Ovis aries: one gene and its partners. The protein of the gene in region 4 binds, or shares a complex with, the protein of the main gene of each other region. Links are inferred from orthologs where the notes say so. Each region holds a gene or a part of one and is shown on either strand. Other genes may lie near its edges.

What was found.
Region 1: SMARCC2 (region 4) and DPF3 share a complex: the UniProt entries of both Homo sapiens proteins name them as parts of the BAF complex. The link is inferred for Ovis aries from reciprocal best matches to the Homo sapiens genes SMARCC2 and DPF3.
Region 2: SMARCC2 (region 4) and ARID2 share a complex: the UniProt entries of both Homo sapiens proteins name them as parts of the SWI/SNF-B (PBAF) chromatin remodeling complex. The link is inferred for Ovis aries from reciprocal best matches to the Homo sapiens genes SMARCC2 and ARID2.
Region 3: SMARCC2 (region 4) and SMARCA2 share a complex: the UniProt entries of both Homo sapiens proteins name them as parts of the BAF complex. The link is inferred for Ovis aries from reciprocal best matches to the Homo sapiens genes SMARCC2 and SMARCA2.

Annotation. Positions count from the first base shown.
Region 1 is NC_056060.1:82,480,465-82,486,550, forward strand, and holds the start of DPF3 (zinc finger protein DPF3), read right to left. Parts: upstream 4,203-6,086; 5' UTR 1-4,202. UniProt on the Homo sapiens protein: Belongs to the neuron-specific chromatin remodeling complex (nBAF complex).
Region 2 is NC_056056.1:140,601,314-140,606,953, forward strand, and holds part of ARID2 (AT-rich interactive domain-containing protein 2), read right to left. Parts: intron 4,335-5,640; coding exon 4,211-4,334; intron 4,122-4,210; coding exon 4,030-4,121; intron 1-4,029. UniProt on the Homo sapiens protein: Involved in transcriptional activation and repression of select genes by chromatin remodeling (alteration of DNA-nucleosome topology). Required for the stability of the SWI/SNF chromatin remodeling complex SWI/SNF-B (PBAF).
Region 3 is NC_056055.1:70,273,400-70,279,562, forward strand, and holds the start of SMARCA2 (probable global transcription activator SNF2L2), read left to right. Parts: upstream 1-2,104; 5' UTR 2,105-2,228; exon of another isoform or gene 2,229-2,601; intron 2,602-3,947; exon of another isoform or gene 3,948-4,045; intron 4,046-4,229; exon of another isoform or gene 4,230-4,611; intron 4,612-6,163. UniProt on the Homo sapiens protein: ATPase involved in transcriptional activation and repression of select genes by chromatin remodeling (alteration of DNA-nucleosome topology).
Region 4 is NC_056056.1:163,374,354-163,379,969, forward strand, and holds the end of SMARCC2 (SWI/SNF complex subunit SMARCC2), read left to right. Parts: coding exon 1-73; intron 74-1,082; coding exon 1,083-1,464; intron 1,465-1,792; coding exon 1,793-2,215; intron 2,216-2,768; coding exon 2,769-2,845; 3' UTR 2,846-4,128; downstream 4,129-5,616. Other genes in the region: MYL6 (myosin light polypeptide 6), read right to left, coding at 4,981-5,009. UniProt on the Homo sapiens protein: Involved in transcriptional activation and repression of select genes by chromatin remodeling (alteration of DNA-nucleosome topology).

The DNA of each region.
Region 1 (6,086 bases), on a different chromosome or scaffold from region 4:
AAAATGGCCCTTCACTATTCTAAAGGAACCCTCCAGTTCTCTCTTGATGGAAGTATAATCAAGAGAAATGATTGGGAGAAAGTAGGGTTTTTTTCCTCCATAGAATTGGGATTGGAAGGGGAGTGTGTGCATGGGGAAACATAAGGAATTATGCATTTGGATATGCATTTTAATTAGGTGGACAGAAGCAGCCGCCTGTTAATTTTTCTTGCTTGTTTCCACTTAGCATTCATCACAGGCAGAACCACCATAGAGCGCTCCCACGATAATAGATGGTTCTGCATTGGCTAAGTCCTCGGGGAAAATAATTAGCAGGAGAGAATATATTCTCTCCACTTCGACTACCCCATCCACCCTGCCCTCCCCCACCTCCAGCACCACATTGCCTCCCCTCCTCCCCCGCCCCCACAAACAACAGTGGCTTCCCTAGCAGCCTAGGGGAACAGTCCACCTCCCGGTTTACAAGCATTTACTTTGTCCTGTCAAAGATCAAGGATCTGGAAGGAGAAACAGACAGACTGGAGGCCTTCCTTGGAGTGGAAGGTCCTAGATACCAAGAGGGAGGCTACTATGCTGCTTAGGACCAAGGGGCAGACTGGCAGGCAGGACTGGCCAGGACAGGATGAAGAAAGTTCCAAAGAGGGTGAGACAGTTCTCACTAAGCTCAACTATCAGCCCAACAAAGACAAGTAAAGAGTCCCTAGTTGAGGAGAATGGGAGCAAGGATGACATTTCTCTCTTAATTTGCTTTTATAAAGTACAGGAATGCTGTGTTTCTGTAGCAAGCTTGAATCTGAAGCATTTCCAAGGCTGGCAAATAACTCTGTTATTCCGAGATCTGACCCTCACCACCATGCTGCCCACATCTACTCATGTACAAAGAATTAATTCTTGCCACTGACCCCTAACGCCAACATCACATCCTCCTTGCTTACTAGCAGATTTAAACCCCAGCCCCACCTTCTCCCCTTCTCTCTCCCTGGAGTCTTCTTGGTAGAAGGAGCCAGAGACTGCTGGATGACCAGAGCCCAAGTTCCAGGAGAATGCTCCCTCTGCCCGCCAGCTTCTGTTTCCTCTGATTGAGGATGGACTCAGTATGGGGTTGACAATGGAAAATGAAACGAAGGCTTCCCTTGAGCTCCTATTCTCACCTATTTCAAACCCGGAAGATGGGAAAACCCCACTGAGATTCCAGGGCTATTTACACACAGCTGGATGAGTGAAGCTTTGCATTTCCTGAGAAACAATGGTTAGACAGGATGTGGAATGCCAGGATCTTTTCATTAATTTTGGTTTTAATATAATAAAGTGATGTTTGATACTTGCGATATTGTTGACTCTCTGAGAAGCGCCCCCCTCCCTCCCCCCAGGTTAGCTACGGGGCAGGGGTGGGGGGCACTTGGCAGCTCTAGTAACACCTCCCATTTGTACTTTACACTTTCTGAAGTGTTTTCACATCCATTGTTTCATTTGGGCCCTTCAGGGGGTGGTAAGCAGGGCTTAGCGCAGGGAAGGGAGGCCAAATGAGATGCATGCCCTTCTCCCCTTATGAAAAGATAGGTCAGATTTACTACCTCCTGACCTTCAAGCTGTCCTGTCATCCCAGGTGTTTCCAGCAGGAACACCTGCTGCCTGATGAGACCTCCACTGCCTGGGAAACCTTCGCTCCAGCCCCACCAGGTGACAACTAGTGCTGCAGCCTCTGGGGCCTCCCCATATCCAGACCCTGACCCCAAGGGAGTCCCTGCCCTCAACGGGTTGGGGGTGGGGGGGTGGTGACAAGATGAAGGCAATCCTCTGGCTGGGGATAAAAGAAGTGAGTCTCTGAGTTCCTGGGGCATTTATCCTCCACCCCCAAAATAGTGGTAGTCCTAAAGTGGGAGGCAGGTAAAGAGGTTGAATTCTATGATGCCATGAGTATTTTTTTTAAGTTTAGAAGAAAGGAGTTGCCTATACTATCTAGAAATGTACTCCATGAATCTTAGTGAGTCTAAAAATGAAGGGGGGGTCTAGGCATATACCCCAAAGAACTGAGAGCAGGGATTCAAACAGCTACTTACACACCCATGTTCATAGCAGTACTATTCACAATCGCCACAAGGTGGAAACAACCCCAGGACCCATCCCTGGATGCATGGATAAGCAAAATAAGGCATATATATACAGTGGACTATTACTCAGCCATAAAAAGGAAGGAAGTCCTGACACATGCTGTAACACAGATGAGCATTAAGAACACTATACTAAGTGCAATAAGCCAGTCACGAAAGGACAGATATTGTATGATTCCACTCATATGAGGTGCTTAGAACAGGCAAATTCATACAGACAGAAAGTACAATGGTGGTTACCACACTGGGATGGGGTGGGAGGAGGATGTCCTCATTAAAACAGAGGATGTTATTGTTTAATGGATATAGAGTGTGTTTAGGATGACTTTTTAAATTCTGGAAATGAATACAGAATATTCTGGTAGTTATACAACACTATGAATGTACTTAATGCCAGTGAACTGAACACTTTAAAAAAGGCTAAAATGGTATGTCTACATGTCATACATGCTAAATATACATGTTATGTATTGATACATCTTACCACAAGTACAAAAAAATTTAAGGGACTGCCTCTGTAGGCTGGAGGTCAAGGAGACCATTTTGTTTTTTCTTTCATTTTGCCTAATTCTCACAATTCAGGCTTCTGTGAATGTTCTGATGGTTTTAACAACCCCCTCTTCCTCCTTTAGACATGTAGAAAATTGCCAAGGGAGCTAGCTGTCAACCAAAGGAAAGCCTGATAATAATGCCTCCAGAGGAATCTGGCATGTTCTGGAGGCATATCACTGAATGAGAGGCAGTGAATTCCACTTTAGACACTGCTAATACTCACCTGCGTAAGGCCAGACTCTGTGTCTACTGAACACCTCCATTTCCTCAGCAGCATCACGGGGTGCAACAGAGGAAGCTCACTGAGACATCAGTACAGGCCCACCCACTGCAGTTCACTGAATGGTAGGGCATTTGCAACTGCCCAAATGGAAATGAAGTAAGCATTTATTTCCATGTTAACTGGGATGGGTGCCATGTTAGAAGAACAGTAGATTGAAGGAGACTGTAGATAAATGAAATCCAGAGAAGAAAATCTTTTGCTCGGTTCCCTTTCTTCCACCATACATTTACACAAAACAGGAAGAAAAAGAGAGATGTTCTCAATAATTCTAGTCTTTTGCACAACCAAAAACATAATCTGAGTGCTTGTAAACAGAAAAAAATAGGCCAATTAATCTTCTCATTTCTCTTTCCCGTCTTCATCCCCTGGTTGGAGTGTTAATGAGGAGAAAAGTGTTCAAAAGGGAGCATCAGAAGAAAAGACCACGTTCTCAGTGGGCCACCACCTGGCCCTCAGCCTTGGGCGCTGAGAAGAGAGAGATCAGAGCCCAGTGGCAACAGAAGGTGGCAAGACAGGAACCAGAGAAGATGAAACTACAGGAGAGCCTACCAGTCTTAACTCCCTTTTAGAGCCACACTTAAAAAATGAGGAGGAATTCAAACACTGGTCCCTAACTGTCCTCCTCATCCTTCCTAATCCACCATAGTCAAGAGGCCCCAGTTTTTTACTGGAAAGGAATTTGGCAATCAAGGTGCATCACCCTCACCTTTAAGACAAGGAATATGTGGCTCAGAGAAGTTCTGGGTCTAAGGTCTCATAGCTGGTGAGCAGTAGGGCTGAAAACTGAGCTCAAATCTCCGGGATCCTCTCCCTGAAGCTTTTACTTCTGAAGCTACAAAAGCATAGTCACTGGTGAGAAAGTATAAGAGGGATGGAGTTTGACATAAGGACATAGGGATGACTGGTGAAAGTTTGAGAACTGAAAAACCTTTTCTGGTGGAGCTTCCAGTTGAAGTTAATACCACAGCAGATTTTTGAAGTGAATATTCAACAATGAGAAAAACTCACTCATTTCATAGCAACCTAAGATGACAGCAAGCTCTGGACTCGAGGAGGGAGGAGAGGGTGCAAAGGGGGATTAGACACGTATCATCATTGTTCCTTGGACTCAGAACTAAGTCCTGGAGGTGAAGGTCTCAACGTGGGCTATTTGAACCCTATTATTAGGAGCTCCTGCCCCTCCCTGCTTTCAAACACAGCCCCCTAAATCTTAGCCTGCTTTCCTTGTAACCCCCCACCTACTACTACTATTCACAAACACACAACCTAGACATTTCCAGCATAGGTTGCTCCTCTTCTCCCCTCCCCTGACCCAAACACCTCCTAGCCACTGCTTTTAAAACTCTGATGCAAATCACAGGCTTCAAAAACCTTCCTTCAGTGACAGTTTTATGATGCTAGCTCCATTCATCCATATGGGTTGACAGACTGTGAAACACTAGTAACCGGACCAATAAGAAAAACAGATTACAAAAACACCACAACACCTCATCTCTCCCCAGTTGCTCACACAACTAAAGAAAACTTTGGAACTTGCAATAGATCATAACATCAGTCTCTCTTGCTGTTAAACAATCATCTTCTCAGAGTTCCAGACCACACAGTAGTTTTATCCACTTACCTATCCCCTCCGTATCCCCTCTCCCCAGGCCACTTCTTTATCTTTCCTTGTTAAATACCTACATGTTTAAAGATTATTTAATGCTAGGGTCATGCTTACATAGGCCCCTGCTGGAAAACCATGGCTGGGCAAAAACTGTTTCAGTGGTTGTGGCATTTCAGGGGCTTGCCACATTGGGCTACATTTGTCTTCTAGTGACTTTCAGAACACTCAGAAACCACAAAAGTTACTTTGCAGAGGTTGGGATAATAGACAGGCCTGAATTCTGATGCTTTTCATGACCCACACCCAGCACCACTACAATCAGGATGGCTGTACTTTCAAAACTGAAACATTAGCCTCAGTTTCTTTTCCTTTTCTGGTGCAAGCTCAAAACAAAGCTTGGTTGACCATGGCATTTTATTTTCTGCACTGATCTGAGCAGATGGCTCTGGAACAGCTTTAGACATTATGGTGTTTCTCAGATGTACCTAAATTTCAGCCACCTGCATGGTTCCAAAAAGACAAAGGAGGATGAGAAGTCTCCAATTAAGTTGCCTCTGAATTCCAGGCCACTTTCTAGAACTAAGCAACTCCCATTCAACTGGAGACCTCTGAATGTCTCCCAGGTGGTCTGCAACCGCAGCAGTTCTCTGTGGCGATGCCTCCATTTGGGTTCTGGCAGAAATTAATAACCTTTATGGGTATCTCATCAAAACCAGACATGCTTCCCACTGAAAAATAATGTGTGCTAATGAAGTTTAGAGAATTTAAGGCTTCCCCCCGCCCTCACCCCAGTGGCAACCAGAAGCAGATGGAGAAGGTGGTTCTTAGGCATCTGTTGGCTTAAAATGTCTGAGGGTCCTTTTTCATAAGGGGCTAAAATAATGTCCATAAAAAGCTGAAAGCTCACAAATCCCAACCCCAGTTTTCCCCATTTAGTACCTACCCAAATCCCCCACCCCAACAGAAAGAGCCAGAAGCAGATTAGAACCAGGAATGTGTCCCCTCTGCGCCATCCTCTCTGATAACCTAAACTGAGTGCCACAGCAAGAGTGAGGTCTGGCTTCTAAGTGGCAACAACTTCACAACTTTCACGGGCACAAAACCACTTTAGATTAGAATACATGGTCTCCAGGTCAGAGAATGAATAAAAAGACGAGATCTGAGGTCCATCTATACACATGACCAGCTGTTTGACCTTGGCTGAGTAAGTATATTTGCTTCTCACAGGGTTGTGTCCTTAATTACAAAACAGAGGTTTGTTTTTTTTTTTTAAAGCCTCCAACCAAGGGAGTGAAGTGAAGTCGTTCAGTCATGTCCGACTGTTTGCGATCCCATGGACTGTAGTCTACCAGGCTTCTCTGTCCATGGGATTTTCCAGGCAAGAGTACTGGAGTGGGTTGCCATTTCCTTCTCCAGGGGATCTTCCTGACCCAGGGATTGAACCCAGTTCTCCTGCATTGCAGGCAGACACTTTACCCTCTGAAACTCCTTACAAAAATGTTTCAATACAACTACATATCTGGATGTTCACATG
Region 2 (5,640 bases), about 23 Mb from region 4:
ATAGCTTTGATTATATGGACCTTCATCAGTAAAGTGATATCTCTGCTTTTTAATATGCTGTCTAGGTTTGTCCCTTTCTTTCCAGGAGCAAGTGTCTTTTAATTTCATGGCTGCAGTCACCATCGGCAATGATTTTGGAGCCCAACACCATAAAGTCTTTCATTGTTTTCATTTATTGTCATGAATGATGGTCCCATCTATTTGCCATCAGTGATGGGACCAGAAGCCATGATCTTAGTTTTTTGAATGTTGAGTTTTAAGTCAGCTTCTCCACTCTCCTCTTTCACTTTCATCAAGAGGCTCTTTAGTTCTTCTTTGCTTTCTGCCATTAGGGTGGTATCATCTACATATCTGAGGCTGTAGTACTTCTACTGGCAATCTTGATTCCAGCTTGTAATTCATCCAGTCTGACATTTCACATAATGTACTCTGCCTTTAAGTTAAATAAGCAGAGTGACAATCTATAGCCGTGACATACTCCTTTTCCAATTTGAAACCAGTCCATTGTTCCATGTCTGGTTCTACTGGTACCTCCTGATCTGCATACAGGTTTCTTAGGAAGCAGGAAAGGTGATTTAGTATTGCCATTTTTTTCAAGAATTTTCCGCAGTTTGTTATGACGCACATGGTCAAAGGCTTTAACATAGTCAGTGAAGGAAAGTAGATGTTTTTCTGGAATTCTCTAGCTTTTTCTATGATCCAGTGGATACTGGCATTTGATCTCTGGTTCCTCTGTCTTCTAAATCCAGCTTGAACATCTGGAAGTTCTTCATTCACATACTGCTGAAGCCTTGCTTGAAGGATTTTGAGCAATATCTTGCTAGCATGTGAAATGAGCACAATTGTATGGTAGTTTGACCATTCTTTGGCATTGCCTTTCTTTGGGGTTGGAATGAAAACTGACTTTCTCCCATCCTGTGGCCACTGCTGAGTTTTCCAAATTTGCTGGCATACTGAGTGCAGCACATTAATAGCATTATCTTTTAGGATTTAAAATAGTTCCAGTGGAATTCTATCACTTCCACTAGCTTTGTTCGTAGCAATGCTTCCTAAGGTCCAGTTGACTTCACACTCCAGGATATCCGATGCTAGGTGAGTGACCCCACCATTGTGGTTATCCAAGTCGTTAAGATCCTTTTTATACAGTTCTTCTGTGTAATCTTGCCACCTCTTCTTAATATCTTCTGCTTCTGTTAGGTCCATTCCATTTCTGTCCTTTATTGAGCCCATTTTTGCATGAAATGTTCCCTTGGTATCTCTCTTTTAGAAGAGATCTCTAGTTGTTCCCATTCTATTGTTTTCCTCTATTTCTTTGTACTGTTCACTTAAGAAGCCTTTCTTATCTCTCCCTATTATTCTTTGAAGCTCTGCATTCAGTTGGGCATATCTTTCTCTTCTTTCTCCTTGCCTTTCACTTCTTTTCTTTTCTCCGCTAACTGCAGGGCCTCCTCAGACAACCATTTTGCTTTCTTGCATTTCTTTTTCTTTGGGATGGCTTTGGTCACACCCTCCATAACAGAAGAAGCAAGAATTGCAATCCTATGGCCTCCAGAATGAAAACCACATCACAGAAAACTAACCAAAATGATCACATGGATGCCTTATGTAACTTAATGACCCTTATCCGCCACCCTAGATGGTTGGGTCATGGTGGAGAGTTCTGACAAAACGTGGTCTACTGGAGAAGGGAATGACAAACTCCTTCAGTATTCTTGCCTTTAGAACCCCATTGACAATATGAAAAGGCAAAGAGATATGAAACTAGAGATGAGCCCCTCAAGTCAGTAGGCGTCCAATATGCTACTGGGTAAGAGTAGAGAAATAGCTTTAGAAAAGGGGCTGAGCCAAAGCAAAAACAATGACCAGTTGTGGATGTTTCTGGTGGTGAAAGTCAAGTCCAATGCTGTAAAGAAACATATTGTTAGGAACCTGGAATGTTAGGTCCATGAATCAAGATAAATTGGATGTGGTCAAACAAGAGGTGGCGAGAGTGAACATCGACATTTTAGCTATCAGTGAACTAAAATGGACTGGAATGGGAGAATTTAATTCAGATGACTATTATATCTACTACTGTGGGCAAGAATCCCTTAGAAGAAATGGAGTAATTTAATCACTCCATAATTACTACTAATTACCATAATCAACGAGAGTCCAAAATGTAGTACTTGGGTGCAGTCTCAAAAATGACAGGATGATCTCAGTTCCTTTCCCAGGCAACCCATTCAACATCACAGTCATCCAAGCCTATGCCCCAACCACTAATGCCAAAGATGAAGCTGAACAGTTCTTTGAAGACCTAAAAGACCTAGAACTAACACCAAAGATGTCCACTTTATCATAGGGGACTGGAATGCGAAAGTAGGAAGTTAAGAGATACCTGGAGTTAATAGGAAAGTTTGCCCTTGGAGTACAAAATGAAGCAGGGCCAAGACTAACAAAGTTTTGCCAGGAGAATGCAGCACTGGTCATAGCAAACACCCTCTTCCAATAACACGAGAGATGACTCTACATATGGACGTCACCAGATGGTCAATACTGAAGATGGAGAAGCTCTATACAGTCAGCAAAAACAAGACCTGGAACCGACTGTGGCTCAGATCATGAGCTTCTTATTGCAAAATTTACACTTAAATTGAAGAAAGTACAGAAAACCACTAGGCCATTCAGGTGTGGCCTAAATCAAATCCCTTATGATTATACAGTGGAAGTGACAATAGAGTCAAGAGATTAGATCTGAGAGATACAGTAGGGTGGAAAGCCATATGAAAACCCACTTACAAAACGTAAGATGAAATGTTATAAAACAGAAATGTTATAAACACAGACTCAATGAGGAAGAGGAAAACAGCACAGGAAAGGCAGCACACAGACGCCAGCGTCTGAGCTGGATTAGGGAAGGCTTGCAGATGCTCAATGGGCCTCAACCCAGGGAAGATACAAAAGTGTGACATGAAAGACATCTAGGGTGGATGGAATCTGCATGCGGTTCAATTTGGCTAAAATTGATATGCAGCCAAAGAAGGAGTAGGAAGAGAAATATAGTGAGACAGGAAGGAAGAAATGATACTATAAATGCAATTGGGAGATGCTAGTGACAAAACCTTCTTATTTCTTTTCTGAAAAAACTTTATTTTTAATTTGAATGTTAAGAATTTTTTCTTATTCCTCTGTGGGAATACTTGATTCATGAAATATAGTAACTTTCGTTATTGCAAACACTTTTTTTAAACAAGTTTTATTCGCTTTAAATTTACCTAAGTTTTAAAGTTTGATATTAAAGTAATTGCTTCTTTGTAATTGATGCCTCTGTTTTTTTGCTCAGAAAGTCCAGTTGGAATGTAACTACAAGGAATATTAAGATCCAACACAAAGTAAAATAGGAGGAGGAGAACCAAGGTAGATTCGATTAACAGCATGTGAGAAGAGAAAAAGTAGGAGAGAAAAGCACTGTCTGGAAGGCAAGATGCATTAAAGCATGACTTCCCAACTAACGAGCCCAAGTTGAGTCAGCTGAAGATGGAGGAAGAATACTAAAAGATTATTTTCAAGGTTCAAAGGAGACAAATCTACATTTGCTTTCTCAAGAGTTAGAGCTGTTTCCAGTTTCCATAGATTTATAAAATACTAAGTTTTCTCGTAAGTCCAAGAATCTTAGCATATCTATGACTTTGATGGTTTCATCAAAACGGCAATTATCAAACTGAATTCCATTCTAATTCCACATGATTCAAGTAACGAATTCCTTTTTCCTCCTAGTAAACTCCCAAGTGTTCTTTGGTAGACCTACTTTTTCCTCTAAATGCTATGATGAACAAGAAATTTAACTTGAACAAGTTCAAGAACACCTTTTGGTTGTTTCAACTTCCACTTTTGTGGCTTTTAAGAATCTACGACAGTCTACTTTGACATAAGCTTTTGGACATCCAAAAATTGATGAGAAAAACAGTGAATACAATGCAGATATCTAAACTTACAGGTAACAGTAAAATAAAAATTCACTCTGACTACAGAAAACAGATTACTCACCTGCGACCACATTCTGAATATTTACCAATGTTTTTTAATATTAAGGCAGCTGTTAGTCGGATGTGTTTAGTTATTGGTCCCTCTTTTTCATCCTTAAAAAGGAAAAGAAAAGAAAAAGAATAAAGGTCTAAATCATACAGTGTTCACACCTTCACAGTTAAGGCTTCCAAGGCTTACTTACTGTAAAGTCTCGAAAGACAAGATTTCTTGATCCTCTCCTTAGAGCCATAAGGGCAGCACTGGGATGATTCACAATGGCCTTTTGTGCTCTAGGAGCTGAGCTTGTGCCCCCTACAGCTGGCTGCCTAAATATACCAGGGAGAGGAAGAGACTGTTAACATGACAGTTCAGGCAGACTGACAACAAATGACTAACCTGCCAAACCTGAACGTGGTTATCGAGGTAGACACAGCGTGAGTAAAAGCTCTGGTGGCCCAGCAGTAATAATTACTCTTTGTGCCAACTGAGGCAAAAGGGTTCGTGGTCTTTTATTTGCAATCTATCAACTTTAAAGCAAACAACAGATGTCCTAGTACAGCTCATATATATATAAACACAACATAGCTTAAAAGTTGAGTTCATATCTTTGAATGCAATGTAAAGATGTTAACAAAGAATAGTCTACAAGTTGAGCTGCAAATTAGTTTTGCTAAATGGTACCTACAAGTAAAATTTATCTCCTAAGAGTGTACTGGTATATGTATAGGTCACCCAGGAAAAGACAACCTAATACGATAATAACATGAAGTTATGCTAACTACTACATTTCAAACTATTACTATCTTATAGAATTTTTTATTAACCAATTTCAATTAATCATTTCAGTATAGCTCTAATGTCCTTTAGCAAAGATGGAGGGACTGCAGAGACAGAGTTTATAAAAATGAGATTCAAACTACTCTAGGTTTCCTTTGCCACATAGAAAAACTGCATCAGTATCTGGTGTATTCTGCTGAGGGAACAGTGGTGAGAGAACTGGCTCTCAGGGAGAAAGTCCTGTTTCTGCCCCTCACTGGCTGCATGACTTTGAACCATTCAATTTGCCCCTTTGTGCTTCAGGTTTCACATCTGTAAAGTGGGGATATTTCTGGCATTTTTTTACATGAGTAAACTAATTTTGAATACTAAGTTAACAAGTTAACATAAAAGCAATCTCTAAATTGTAAGCTAGTTTGTGTCTATATCTACATATAGATTTCTCTAGATAAAGATCTATGTATCAACACAGATAAAAATTATTATTGACTTCATGTATAAACGACAAAGATTTTTTATTATAATGGATATACCAAAATAACCCTCCAAATTTGAACAAAACCAAACATATTGCAGCATAGTATTATAAGCTACATAGAAGTGAAGTGAAAGTCACTCAGTCATGTCCGATTCTTTGTGACCCCATGAACTGTAGCCCATCAGACACCTCTGTCCATGGGATTCACCAGGCTAGAATACTGGAGTGGGTTGCCATTTCCTTCTCCAGGGGATCTTCCCAATTCAGGGACTGAACCCAGGTCTCCTGCATTGAAGACAGATTCTTTACCATCTGAGCCACCAGGCAGGCTGAAAGCTACATTAATAAATACAAATTAAATACAGTTCACCCTTGAA
Region 3 (6,163 bases), on a different chromosome or scaffold from region 4:
GCACTTACTCACAAGGGAATTCAGATGAAGTCATCAATTTCTAAAAATTGGCATATAAGGTTGGCATGCCAGGGAAATGGGTCACCGCCCCCCTTCCAGCCCAAATTAAAACCTTATATTACCTAATGTATTAAGCATCACCATTGGGTTAAAGCCCTTTTATAGACAACTAGGTTATCTGGCTATATTATTAGCTGAAATTTATTAGGCAATTGAAAGTTCTGCTTTTACTACATTGCTAGTTTTGTTTAAGATTTCTCACCTAGTTAATAGTTATACTGGCATAACCTCAGGCAGAAAAACAAGTTCTTACAATAGATTCTTCAGGGCATAATATATTCTACTTCTTTTATATGTGTTATCTTTTGTTGTCTTGAGTTTCACTTTGGGATAGATAGAAAATTATGAAGCTCAGGTTAACAAGCAAGTAGCAAAGCCTTAGAAAACTACAAGGTAGGTGATCCTTGACACTCCCAGCCACCTGAAAACGGTGCCCTTGAGGATTCTTCCTCCACCAGCAATGGGCCAACAACATAAACAATTCTTGCCATTTAATGACCCCGTGCAGCATGCTGCAGCAGTGTTTGTTCCACAGCTTCATGCCTTCAACTTATCCACTGCACAATTTTAAGCGCCCTAGAACTGTATTTCAGACCCAGTTGCCCAAATAGAGCCAATTTCGCAACAGTAAAATGGTGTTAAAATAGGATTTTACTCTAGGGGGGAGAAATCTTGAACCAAATAGTCACAGTGCACTTTGCATGAGTAATTTAAACTGTTACATTACAAAATAAGGGCTATGTCATACTTTTAATAACACTACCATATAGGAACAGTTTTAATGTTGAGTCAAGCACCTACATTCATCTAAGTCTAAAATAATAGGCCCCTGATTTAAAATCTCCTAACATTCTTTCACACTTCATAAAATAAAATAAAATTCTCTCAGCAAACGCTGACCTATTCATCCAGCCAAAGTACTGTATTTCAAGGAAAATAGGAAGGAGAGGTCTCAAACCCACCGAGCGCCAGCAGTTTGCTGTCTGCAACCGTAACTGGTCTTAAATGTGGGCTGGGGGTGAAGAGACGTCAGACGGGAGAGAATAAGAGATTTATTACCTATCTTAAATCAAAAGCAGATTCCATGCTTTAACTACCCCCTATCGCCCGCCCGCCCCCAAGAGGTTGTTTTCCTTTGTTTTTTGGTATATATCTCACGGGAAGATGATAGGTGAGGGAAGGTCAAAGTGCTGTGTCTGGTCCACAGAGTCAACACAGGGGTTAGGGCGGGTTTGTTTATTTATAAAGCGTTCAGCCTCTCAGCTGTTTTTCCCTCATTGGCATTTGGAAGCTTGCAGTCCTTTAGAAAAGAGACAGATTTGGCAGGAATGTTCTTTGTGCCCTCCTTCCTTTTTACGGGGGAGAAAAGGAACAGATTGATAATTACAGCCTTGGGTGGGGGGCGGGGTGGGGGAGAAAAAGTTTCCGGCAGCACGTCGATGCCTGTTTTTTTTTTTTTTTTCATGGTCAACACTGTGCTACAAACAGCTTGGGTGCCACTTGGAGCCTTCCCCCCTTCCCCTCCCTTTACCTCCGCAGGCTCGCTCTGGCAGGCAGAGGCACAGTTAAATTCCAGCACCTTCTTCCCATACCCCTAAACTACTACACGCTATTACTACGGCTGCCCTCCCTTTCACTTAGCCTCCTCCGCTTCCCAGCCTCCCACGAGGAGGCCGGCAGGGGCCCCGGAAGACTGCCGGGGAAGGATAACGGGCGTCCAACTCCCTCCATCAGGGCTTGGGGCTTTCCGCGTCCTGCGCAGTTTTTCTGCTCCAGGCACAAACACGGCCAGGGAGCCGGCGCCTTGCAGACACACACAGATCCACGCATACTGTAGAGCTGTCTCGATCCACATTCTTGCATACCGCCCCCTCCTCCCTCCCAGAGCTCCGGGAGTCGCCGAGCGGGGCGAGTGACAGGCGCTTCCCGCCAACCCGCGCCCGGGCGGGCAGGGAGGAGCGGCGCTCTGGACCAACTGCGGCGCGTCTTCCGGCGCCCGCGGAGGCGGTGAGGGTGGGACGCGGGGCGGAGCCGGAGTTTAGGAAGAGGAGGGGATGGCTGTCATCAATGAAGTCATATTCATAATCTAGTCCTCTCTCCCTCTGTTTCTGTACTCTGGGTGACTCAGAGAGGGAAGAGATTCAGCCAGCACACTCCTCGCGAGCAAGGTAAATATAACTTACAACTCCTTTTTCCTCTTTCCCCTCCCTCCGGCCTCCGGGCTGCAGCCGCTGCACAAACCCCTCCGGCACCGCGCCGCCTTCGCCGGGGATTATTCATTATTAACCTAATTATTATTTATTGTGCATGCACGGAGACCAAAACAAACAGGCGGGCCAACCGCCGCAGCAACAACAAAAAAAGCCCGCCTCCTACCCCGCGGGCCTCAGGTGGAATGCTCTTAACGACAGCTCCCGGGCAGCAGTGGAAGAAACGCGAAAGTTTCAACCGAAGCTTGCTGTTCTAATAATAATAGTAATAATTACTACTTCAAGGATGCAAGGGGAGGAAAATCCCAACAAACCACAGCCTTGACCTTAGGTAGGCAATCAGCGATGCGCTGCCAACGGAAGGTTGCAACACACACACACACTCGGCAAGGTTGCAATCCCCTCATTCCCTTAAAAACTGGGGTTGGGGGGAGGAGGTGGCAGGAGGATCGGGAAGAGTATGGAAACGCTAAGGTTCTACTAGAGCAGTCCTCCCGGGAAGAGTTGGAAGGGGAGCGGGAGGAGAGGGCGAGGAGCCCGGGCTGACGGCTGGGCGCCAACGAACGCGGCTGCCACCAGCTTCCCTGGGACTTGTTTAAAGGGCTCCGGCTGCGGAGACAGGAGCTGGTCGCGATGGGAGAAGCCGGAGCTGGCTCGCCGAGGCAGTGGCAGCCACCGCCGCGGGGCCGCTGCGTGCGGGATCGGAGGTGTCACCTCCACTTTGCGAGCAGGGATGGGTACGCTGACCGGTAGGCAGGCCTTTAGGCAAAGGGGCTGCCGGGGGTCTGCACCCGGGGCACTGCGGACGACCCTGCCCCTGGTACCTGGTGGCCGCGCGGGCTCGGGTGTTGAAGTTCGGGGTGTCCAGCCGCGACCACACTGCTGGGAGGGAGGAAAGGAGGGAGGAGGTCCTGAAGAAGGAGGTCGGAGGTGCTCATTGGGCTGTTATCCTGCCCTCCGCCTTCTCGGGTTTGTTTTCTTTTGGTCTGCATCTTCCCCTAGCTTGGGCTGCCGGAACCTCGGGCGTGGGTCGCCGGCGATCATCCGGATGCTAGGGGAGCACCCGGGCCCAGGAGAGCCACGGTGGCTGCGGGCCGGGGAGGCCATGATCCGGATAATCCTCTCTGCCTGACTGTCACAAACAGGACCCGCGCGCACCCTGTGCAGTGGTGTTCGCTGTAGAAGGGAAGGGCTGGCGCGGGGTAGGGGGTGGGGGGGGGGGGGGGAGGCTGGTGAGGGCAGAAGGCGGGGAGACCGGGAGGGAGCCTGCCCCCAGAGATGACACGCACCGCTTCCTTCTTGTTCCCTGCTTTCGAGTTTGCTTTATTCCCATCCCAACCTGGTTTACTCCCTCCTCTGCTTCCCCCTCCATCTCGCCGTGTTCCCTCCTCCCGGTTGCGTTGCAAAACACGGCCATGCCATCTGCAAAGGTGTCGCGATGCACTTCCCCAAATAACCAGTCCGGCGCGCCAGCCCCTAGTCACCCTCTGTCTGCGGGCGCACACCAAGTGGGGCGCCCTGGGTCCCCTGCACCAGGCCTCGCAGCCTGGGCGCAGTTGCACCGCGCGGGGCGGGGCGCAGCAGTAAGGGCTCCAGGGGGACAACCGCTCCTGGGTCCCGACACTCGGACCGGTTTCCGGCACACGCGGGGAAATTGCCTCCCGCCAGTGTCTGCGCACTCGCCCCCGCCTCCACCGCCTGGATTGCATTATTATTTTTATCCTGGTTGCAGTTTGCAGCCGATCCTGGTGAGCCCGGGGCTGGCCGGACTGCTGGTAGGGGGGGTGGTGGGGGTGGCGGGTGGAGGGAAGTTGGACGTGGATCAGGCAGGAAAAAAAAAAGTTTGGCAGGGAGACTAAGGAAGGAGGGAGGGTGGGAGGGGGCGGCGAGCTCCCGCAGCTCGCGTCTCGGCGCCCTCGGGGCCGGCGCGAGTGTGTCTGCGCGTGAGTGTGAGTGTGTGTTGTGCGCTGGGGCCGGTGCGTCGCGAGCAGCGGCGCGGGCAGCTGCTCCTGCTCGTGCCCTGCCCGGGAGCCGCGGGAGGACAAGGCGAGGTTTGGTGGTGGAGGAGTGGTGGGGGTGGCGTGTGCGTGTGGCTGTGAGTGTGCGCGCGCGAGCAGCGGAGAATCAGGAAGTCACAGCAGCGAAGCGCACACAGACATGTTTGATCGCCGTGACATGACGCGCGCGAGGGAGGAAGCGGCAGCGGCTGCGGGGGCCGGGCCGCGGGCTCCAGCGCCGGCCTAGGGCTTGGGCGGGGAGACCCGCTCCCGCCGCTGGCAGGGCCGCCACAGCAGGCTAGGCTAGGCTAGCCCCGCGCCTCTTTTTGTTCCGTGTCCCCCAGGTAAGGAGCCTGAGCCTCCGCCGCCTGCCGGGTGCGGAGCTTTCCAGTTCTTTCCCTCCCGGCCCCCTCCGGTCTCCGGGTCAGGCTTTCTTGCAAAGTCAGGAGGGCGGGAGAAGCCGGCTCCCGGCCCTCCGATCGATCGCGTGGAAAACTTTCCAGCGGGAGGCACCGCGAGGGGAAGAAGGCCTTGCTGGCTGCTGTCCCTTGTCAGTTCTTTCTCCTCCGGGTCCGGAGAGTGGAGTCGCTCTGCCCCGGGGCTGTTGCACATTCAAACTTCAGGCCTTAAACGTGCCTCCAGCTTTTGCCGGATTTACTCCAGAAATTAAATATTCGAAGTCGTCTGCTTGGTCCTGCCAGGCGTTTGGGTTTTTGAAGAGCAGAAGGCAGGCATGGGAGTCGAGGGGGATGGGGGTGTTGTGCAGAATCCATTCCTTCCTTAATGTCTGCAGCGGGTGTTATGTAATTTTAGTAGCACACGGGTGCAAAGCCCATACTGGGCTTCTCCCCTCCTTTGTTTATATAACTTTTGGGAGAGTTTTGCAAGGTCCCCCTCTCCCCTTCCTTTTCTTCTTTCCGTTCTCAACCTAATGGAGCTTGGTGCATTTGAAAAAGTAAAGCGACCTGGGTCAGTATATTATTGAGAGGTGCTATCCTTAATCTCCTGGTTATTATGCAGACTGTGTTCCTAACTGTGTGTGATGTTAGGGCATAAGGAAGACATCTGTATCATCAGTAGCAGAGTTAAAATTTCAACTTCCATTTCAAAGGACTTTTTAATTTACACCTGGATGTGCTGTGCTTGTTGGAAGAGAATGCTTGTAGGCACAGAAAGATTGTTGTTTTCATTACTGAATGGAAGAAAATTTCTATCTAAGCGTGTTAAGTAAGACTCAGAAACCTCTGAGAACTGTACTGAAACAAAAGCCATGCCCAGTGTTAGTTGTGTGTATATACTTAACACTTGCACATTCAAATGTTTCAGTATTATCTTATTTGCAGGACCACTGCCCCAGGCTTGTTTGCCTATAATAGCTATGCTAGGCTTCTAGCTTACCTCTAGCTTCCTGGTGAATTGTTAAGAGGTGTGGCAGAGGTTTGAATCCAAGTTGGTGAATTGTTATGCAGATAAAACACCTTTTTCTCTTTTAGGAATCTAATTGTCCTTTTATTCTCCTAGACAATTTTTTTTTTTTTTAAAGCTTCCTAACAACTTGAGTGTTTGTTGGTGGGAAGAGATTTGGAGATACCATTAGGTATCAAAGATATTTATGGATGTGACTTGAAGTAGAAAAGCAAACCTGTACACAGCCACTCCTCTACCTTGTCGGGGGCATTAAAGAGAAAAGTCAGGTGAAGAATATTGTAAAATAAATCAGAGGAGTTTGGGGTATCTGAACCCTTAAAAAATTGGCAGAGGTGAGAGGGTGCCTCCTTCCATGAAGCTTTTTTCTCCTGAGTGACATCAGTTACATCCCAATTCAGGGACTAGCTGCTCTGTGGGGTTTCACAGAAAATATTCACCACCAGAGTGTGTTCAAAGCAGCCTTAGATC
Region 4 (5,616 bases):
GATGAAAAAGTTGGAAATCAAACTCCGGCACTTTGAGGAGCTAGAGACGATCATGGACCGGGAGCGAGAAGCAGTGAGTCGAGTCCCCTGGCGGTTGGCGGGGCCCCACCTTGGCAGTGGGCTGGGCCGCAGTTTAGGGCAAGGAGAGCAGCAATACAGAGAACCTGAGGCTGACAGTATCACAGCAGAGCAGACCAGCCCAGACCAGGGCAGGAGGAGCCAGCCTGGGCGGTTAGGGACAAGTGACCCACAGGTACAGCCTGGAGACTGAGGTCCCACAGAATGTCAGCCCCAGGGTCAAGTTTGCCACATCTCCAGGTCCTTAAAGGGTGCTTAGTCCACGGTAGACTTGGCTGTGGAGTGATTGTTGAGTGATTAAACAGGTTTAAGGCATGATGAGAGGGTAAGGGCTTCAGAGCCAGGGGTTAAAGTTGGAAAGGGAACAGGATGGACATGGTGTCGACTCATTTTGATTCTTAGAAGATATAAAAGTAGAAGATAAGGACTCTGATCCTGAACTCCTCAATTGAAGATATCAGATATCCAATATGGAGACGTCAAAGTTGGCTAATGCTTCAAGCATCTGACAAATGAAAATTGAGAGATTTCCAATCAAGCATAAAAATCCTGAGTGAGAGCAGAATAAAGGCCAAAGTTCAGAGGCTAGTGAGGTGATCTGGGAGGGCTTCCTAAGAATTGTGAGTTTTTCTTCAGTTTTGAAGGAGGGAAAGAACATGATTTGACTAGAGGAACTTGGTTGGTTGGTGGGGTAGGGGTTGGTTTCCAGATGAAAGTAATGACAAATTCAAAGCTTTGGAGCTGAAAATGAACAAAGGCTACCACCAGATTAAGTCCACTTGTCCACTGCAGTGAGAAGCCATGTGGGCAGCCAGAAGACCTGGTGGGGGGAACTGGAGAGGGGAGGGGAGGCGAGAACAGCGGAAGCCAAGCACAAGGCTGAGGTTTGGTGTGGGGATCGCCAGAATGGGAGGCTGGGCTTGTCAGAAGACAAAGCAGGGGGCAAGGTGTGTGCCTTTGGGGTCTCCAGCCCCCGGGTGACAGCTCTCCGTCGGCCCGGGCAGCTGGAGTACCAGAGGCAGCAGCTCTTGGCCGACAGGCAAGCCTTCCACATGGAGCAGCTGAAGTACGCAGAGATGCGGGCCCGGCAGCAGCACTTCCAGCAGATGCACCAACAGCAGCAGCAGCCACCGCCAGCCCTGCCCCCAGGCTCCCAGCCTATCCCACCGCCAGGTGCTGCTGGGCCACCCACTGTCCACGGCTTGGCCATGGCTCCAGCCTCTGTGGCCCCGGCTCCTGCGGGCAGTGGGGCCCCTCCTGGAAGCTTGGGGCCCTCCGAACAGCTTGGGCAGGCAGGGTCAACTGTGGGGCCACAGCAGCAGCCACCAGCTGGAGCCCCCCAGCCTGGGGCCGTCCCACCAGGGGTACCCCCCCCTGGACCCCATGGTGAGTGATGGCTTCTGGAACTCTGGCTGAGTGGAGGGGTCCGGGGGAATGTTCCAGTTCCCCTTAGAGGCAGTGTGTGTTAGGTCTGGAGATAAGGGTTGACCTGTTTCTACAGATCCTCCTTCACCATGGCTATTCCCTAAGTCAGCAGGGCTCCCTCCCCAGAGCCAGAGTTTTGGAATTTTGTTCGAAGGATTTATCACTCAGTTCTAGTATCAGGAAAGGGGAAGGTGGCCTAGGAGTGACTGGGTTATCCTCACTGTGTGAGTGAGTTGGTGAGGGAGATTGTATGCCTCCAATCTTCTCCATCTCTCCTCTTCATTCCCAGGCCCCTCACCGTTCCCCAACCAACAAACTCCTCCCTCAATGATGCCAGGGGCAGTGCCAGGCAGCGGGCACCCAGGCGTGGCGGGTAATGCTCCTTTGGGTTTGCCTTTTGGCATGCCGCCTCCCCCTCCTGCTCCATCCATCATCCCATTTGGTAGCCTAGCCGACTCCATCAGTATTAACCTCCCGCCTCCTCCTAACCTGCATGGGCATCACCACCATCTCCCGTTCGCCCCGGCCACTCTCCCCCCACCTAACCTGCCTGTGTCCATGGCGAACCCTCTACATCCTAACCTGCCGGCGACCACCACCATGCCATCTTCTTTGCCTCTTGGGCCGGGGCTCGGATCCGCCGCAGCCCAGAGCCCTGCCATTGTGGCAGCTGTTCAGGGCAACCTCCTGCCCAGTGCCAGCCCACTGCCAGGTGAGAAGGGTCCTGGAGGGGACAAGGGGCGGGAGAGGGCTCCACAGGGTGGACTGGAGGGCAGGTGGGCTCGGGGCTCGGGTACCAGGGCTTCCAGGATCCTTTTTTTGAACGCCGTGGTAAAATTAGAATACAGGAGGGAAGGGCCTCTCTGGCTGTCCTCCACCATTCCCCAGCCTGGCAGCTGGCCCCTGGGATGACGCTGGGGCCTTTCACTGGTGGGTCACGGAGGAGTCCTGTGACACAGAGCATCTCAGTTGTAAACTGGAAAAACGGCTGCTTGTTTGCATGATGACTGCCGTCCCGTTTGCTTGTTCCCGTCACACTCAAGTGCCCCATTTAGAGAGTTCCCTGGAGGGCAGGAGGACAGTTAAGGGTGTAGCAGTTTTCCCAGCGTGTGGTGGGAGAGGGCACTGGGAAAAGAAGTTGTCCATCGGGGGTGCTCTCTCATCTCCCGTCCATTGCATGCCATGCCTGGTTGCGTGTCTGGTGGCCTGGGTCTGTACCCTCTCCCCTGCTCACCTCAGCTGATGCAACTTGCTTCTCTCCACAGACCCAGGCACCCCCCTGCCTCCAGACCCCACGGCCCCGAGCCCAGGCACAGTCACCCCCGTGCCACCCCCACAGTGAGGAGCCAGCCCGACATCTCTCTCCCTCCTCACCCCCCACGGAGATCAAGTTTCCAGGAACAGCCCCGTCCCCACCACTGGGACCCTTCCCCAGCCTGGAGAGTTCGTCACTACGTAAGGAAAGTCCTCCTGCCCCTCCAAAGCCCCCACCGTGCCTGTCAGGGGCATGCATTTTTATATTTGATGATTCAAGGACTTCTGTGGAAAAGATGTTTCTAATGTCTGGGAGAGAAGATAGGATGGGGACGCTGCCCTCAAAGGAAGGGCTGGGCAAAGGTGTTTCTACAAGGTCCTAATTAACCACTGTTAAGGGTACATCCCCACAAAACTACTGCATTTTTTATGGATTGAAAAAAAAAAAAAGCCCTTTAAAAGGAAGTAGAGATTTAAAAAAGCCCTCCAACCAGTGAGAAAAATCCAACTTTTACATTTTTTGGAGGAGGGAGGTGAGTTTTAGGAAAGGGGTATTAGGTTCTGGGGAGAGCTGATAGGATAGGGTGCAGGCTCCGTCTCCTCCGGCCCCTCATTAGTGACCGAGTCAGCTCCCCACCCTCCTCGGCTGCCCCGTTTATTCCCACTCCTCTCTCCTGCTGCTTCCTCAGTGTTGCTGTTTAGGCCACCCCAGCTCAGCCAATGACCCCTTTCCCTCTGAATGTCAGTTTTGTGTTTTTAAAAGTCTCCTGCGTAGTTGATGTCAGAGTATGTCTATTTGGTGGGGAAACGTCTTGGGGATTCCTGTGGTAGGTAGTGGAGGAAGAAAGGGCACGTGGGGCTGTGTGGCCCCCTCCCCGGGCTCTGACTCCCAGAAGATGCGGAGAGGGGAGCACCAAGAGAATGGGAAGTTTTAAAAGCGTGGAATTGTCAGAAAAGCACTTAAGCACCTCCTTCTTATGACGTGGTGGGCCACTCTGTCCCCTCTTCCCTCCCACCACACCCGTCATGGCTGGTATCGGGGAATTCCCTGGGATTTGGGGCAGCAGCTGGGTAGGGATGCCCAACCTAGGGGCATGCCAACCCCCTGATGGCAGCTCGTGGCTCAGCTCTGCACCCCAGATTCCAGTGCCCCCAGTACCAGCTGTCCCTCTTTATCCCTGATGTGATGACAACAGTGATCCCAAGGCTTTCCACCAGTTCTTGGTCCCTCCCACCAGGCCCTTTGTTCCTCTTGTCCCCATGTTTCTCTTCCTCTGCGTCTTGGCACCTTTCTTCTGTTCAAAATTTTCTGTAAATTTTTTTTCTTTCTTTTCCCTTTTTTTTTTATAAATTAATTTGCTTTCAGTTCCATCTTGTGGATGCCTTCTGTGTTCTCTTACCCGTGGCTGTGAGGCAGGGGGATCGGGCTGGAGCATCACCCCAGGAGTCCTCCAGCAGCACTGGGCGGGGCTGGAGGGACGCCCGGCCAACACTGGGCCTCTCTCCACAACGGGCCAAAGGCAGCACAGCTGTCAGGGCTGAACAGCCGTGCAGGAGCTGGGGAGAGGCTCTCACCTGCTCTAAAAATAGCCATTTAAGACTTGGAAGGACACCTCACAACCTGGAAATTTTGTCTATTTATCCTTTCAGTAGTGGTGGCTTCATGTCTTCCCTTATTAGGCGGGAGAAGGCAGGCATCTCAGCTGCTTGTTATTGTTGGCCCTGGGCCTCGCTGAAGTGACAGGCCCAGGCAGTACTAATATGGCCTGACTTTCACTCCAATAAACAGTTCCCGGGCTCCCTGACAAAAGACCTTCCATGCCAGGGAGGGCTAGGAGAGGACTCAGCCCCACATGGGATAGAACAAGGGTGGCCAGCCTTAGTCCTACAGGCATTTATGGCTTTCCTAATCCCCCCAAGGTAGCCTTTGTAGCACCGATGAGTGAAGCCAGCATCTCTTAAATGAGGCAAAAGTGGCTCCTACAGGCCCTTGGCTGGCTTTCCGCAACCTCTGGTCCACTGACCTTTCATCCTGCTCAGGAAGAACAGCAGAACTGCACATAGAGCAGAGAACAAGTTTATTTGGTGAATGCTGATGGTAGACATCATCCAAGAGAGAGAATCTGGGGAAAATACTGTGACAAGAGAACCTAGGAAGCCTCTGGGCTACATACACAATCTCCCACAAGGAAGGTGCAGTGTCCACGCACACTGGGAATATCCTCAGCCATTCAGCACCATGCGGACGAGCTCTGTGGAAAGGAGAGGGGGGTGAACAGGAAGCAGGGCGAAGGGGAGGGGTCCGCCAGGGGCCAGGAGACCACAGACCACAAAGGCAGCGTAGGAAGGAATGTGCCCACGACAACCAACCTTGGGGTCAGTTTGCAGTACTCTCGACCCCCAGCTCCCCTCCCACCAGCTGTTAGTTCCCCCTGCCCCACCCCGAGCAGCAAGAACACAGCAGAGGCAGAAGAGTTCCCAACTACACCTACAGCTACTGTCAGCCACTGGGGGGAGGAGGAGACAGAGTTTTGGGTTAGGGTATCTCCAAGCTGCCCAGCGGAAAGAAGAGAAGACCTACAGCAGCACGGTGGGGCAGGCAACCCACCCTCCCTGCCAACCACGTGATCCTGAGCTAAAGGATCACCATGAAGCCAGACGGGGGTAGGTAGGCTGGTGTGAGTTCCCAGACACCAGCACCCTGGAAGCCAACCAAACCTCAGACCCAGTTCTAGGAGAGGAGGAGGTGCCACACCCCCAGGCTGTCTGCCTCTTTGAGGAACCCCTCCCCTCCCCAGTCAGCTCCATGCAGAGGCATGCCGGGAAGAAGTCAGATGGTAGTAGAGGAAGGCAGGGGCT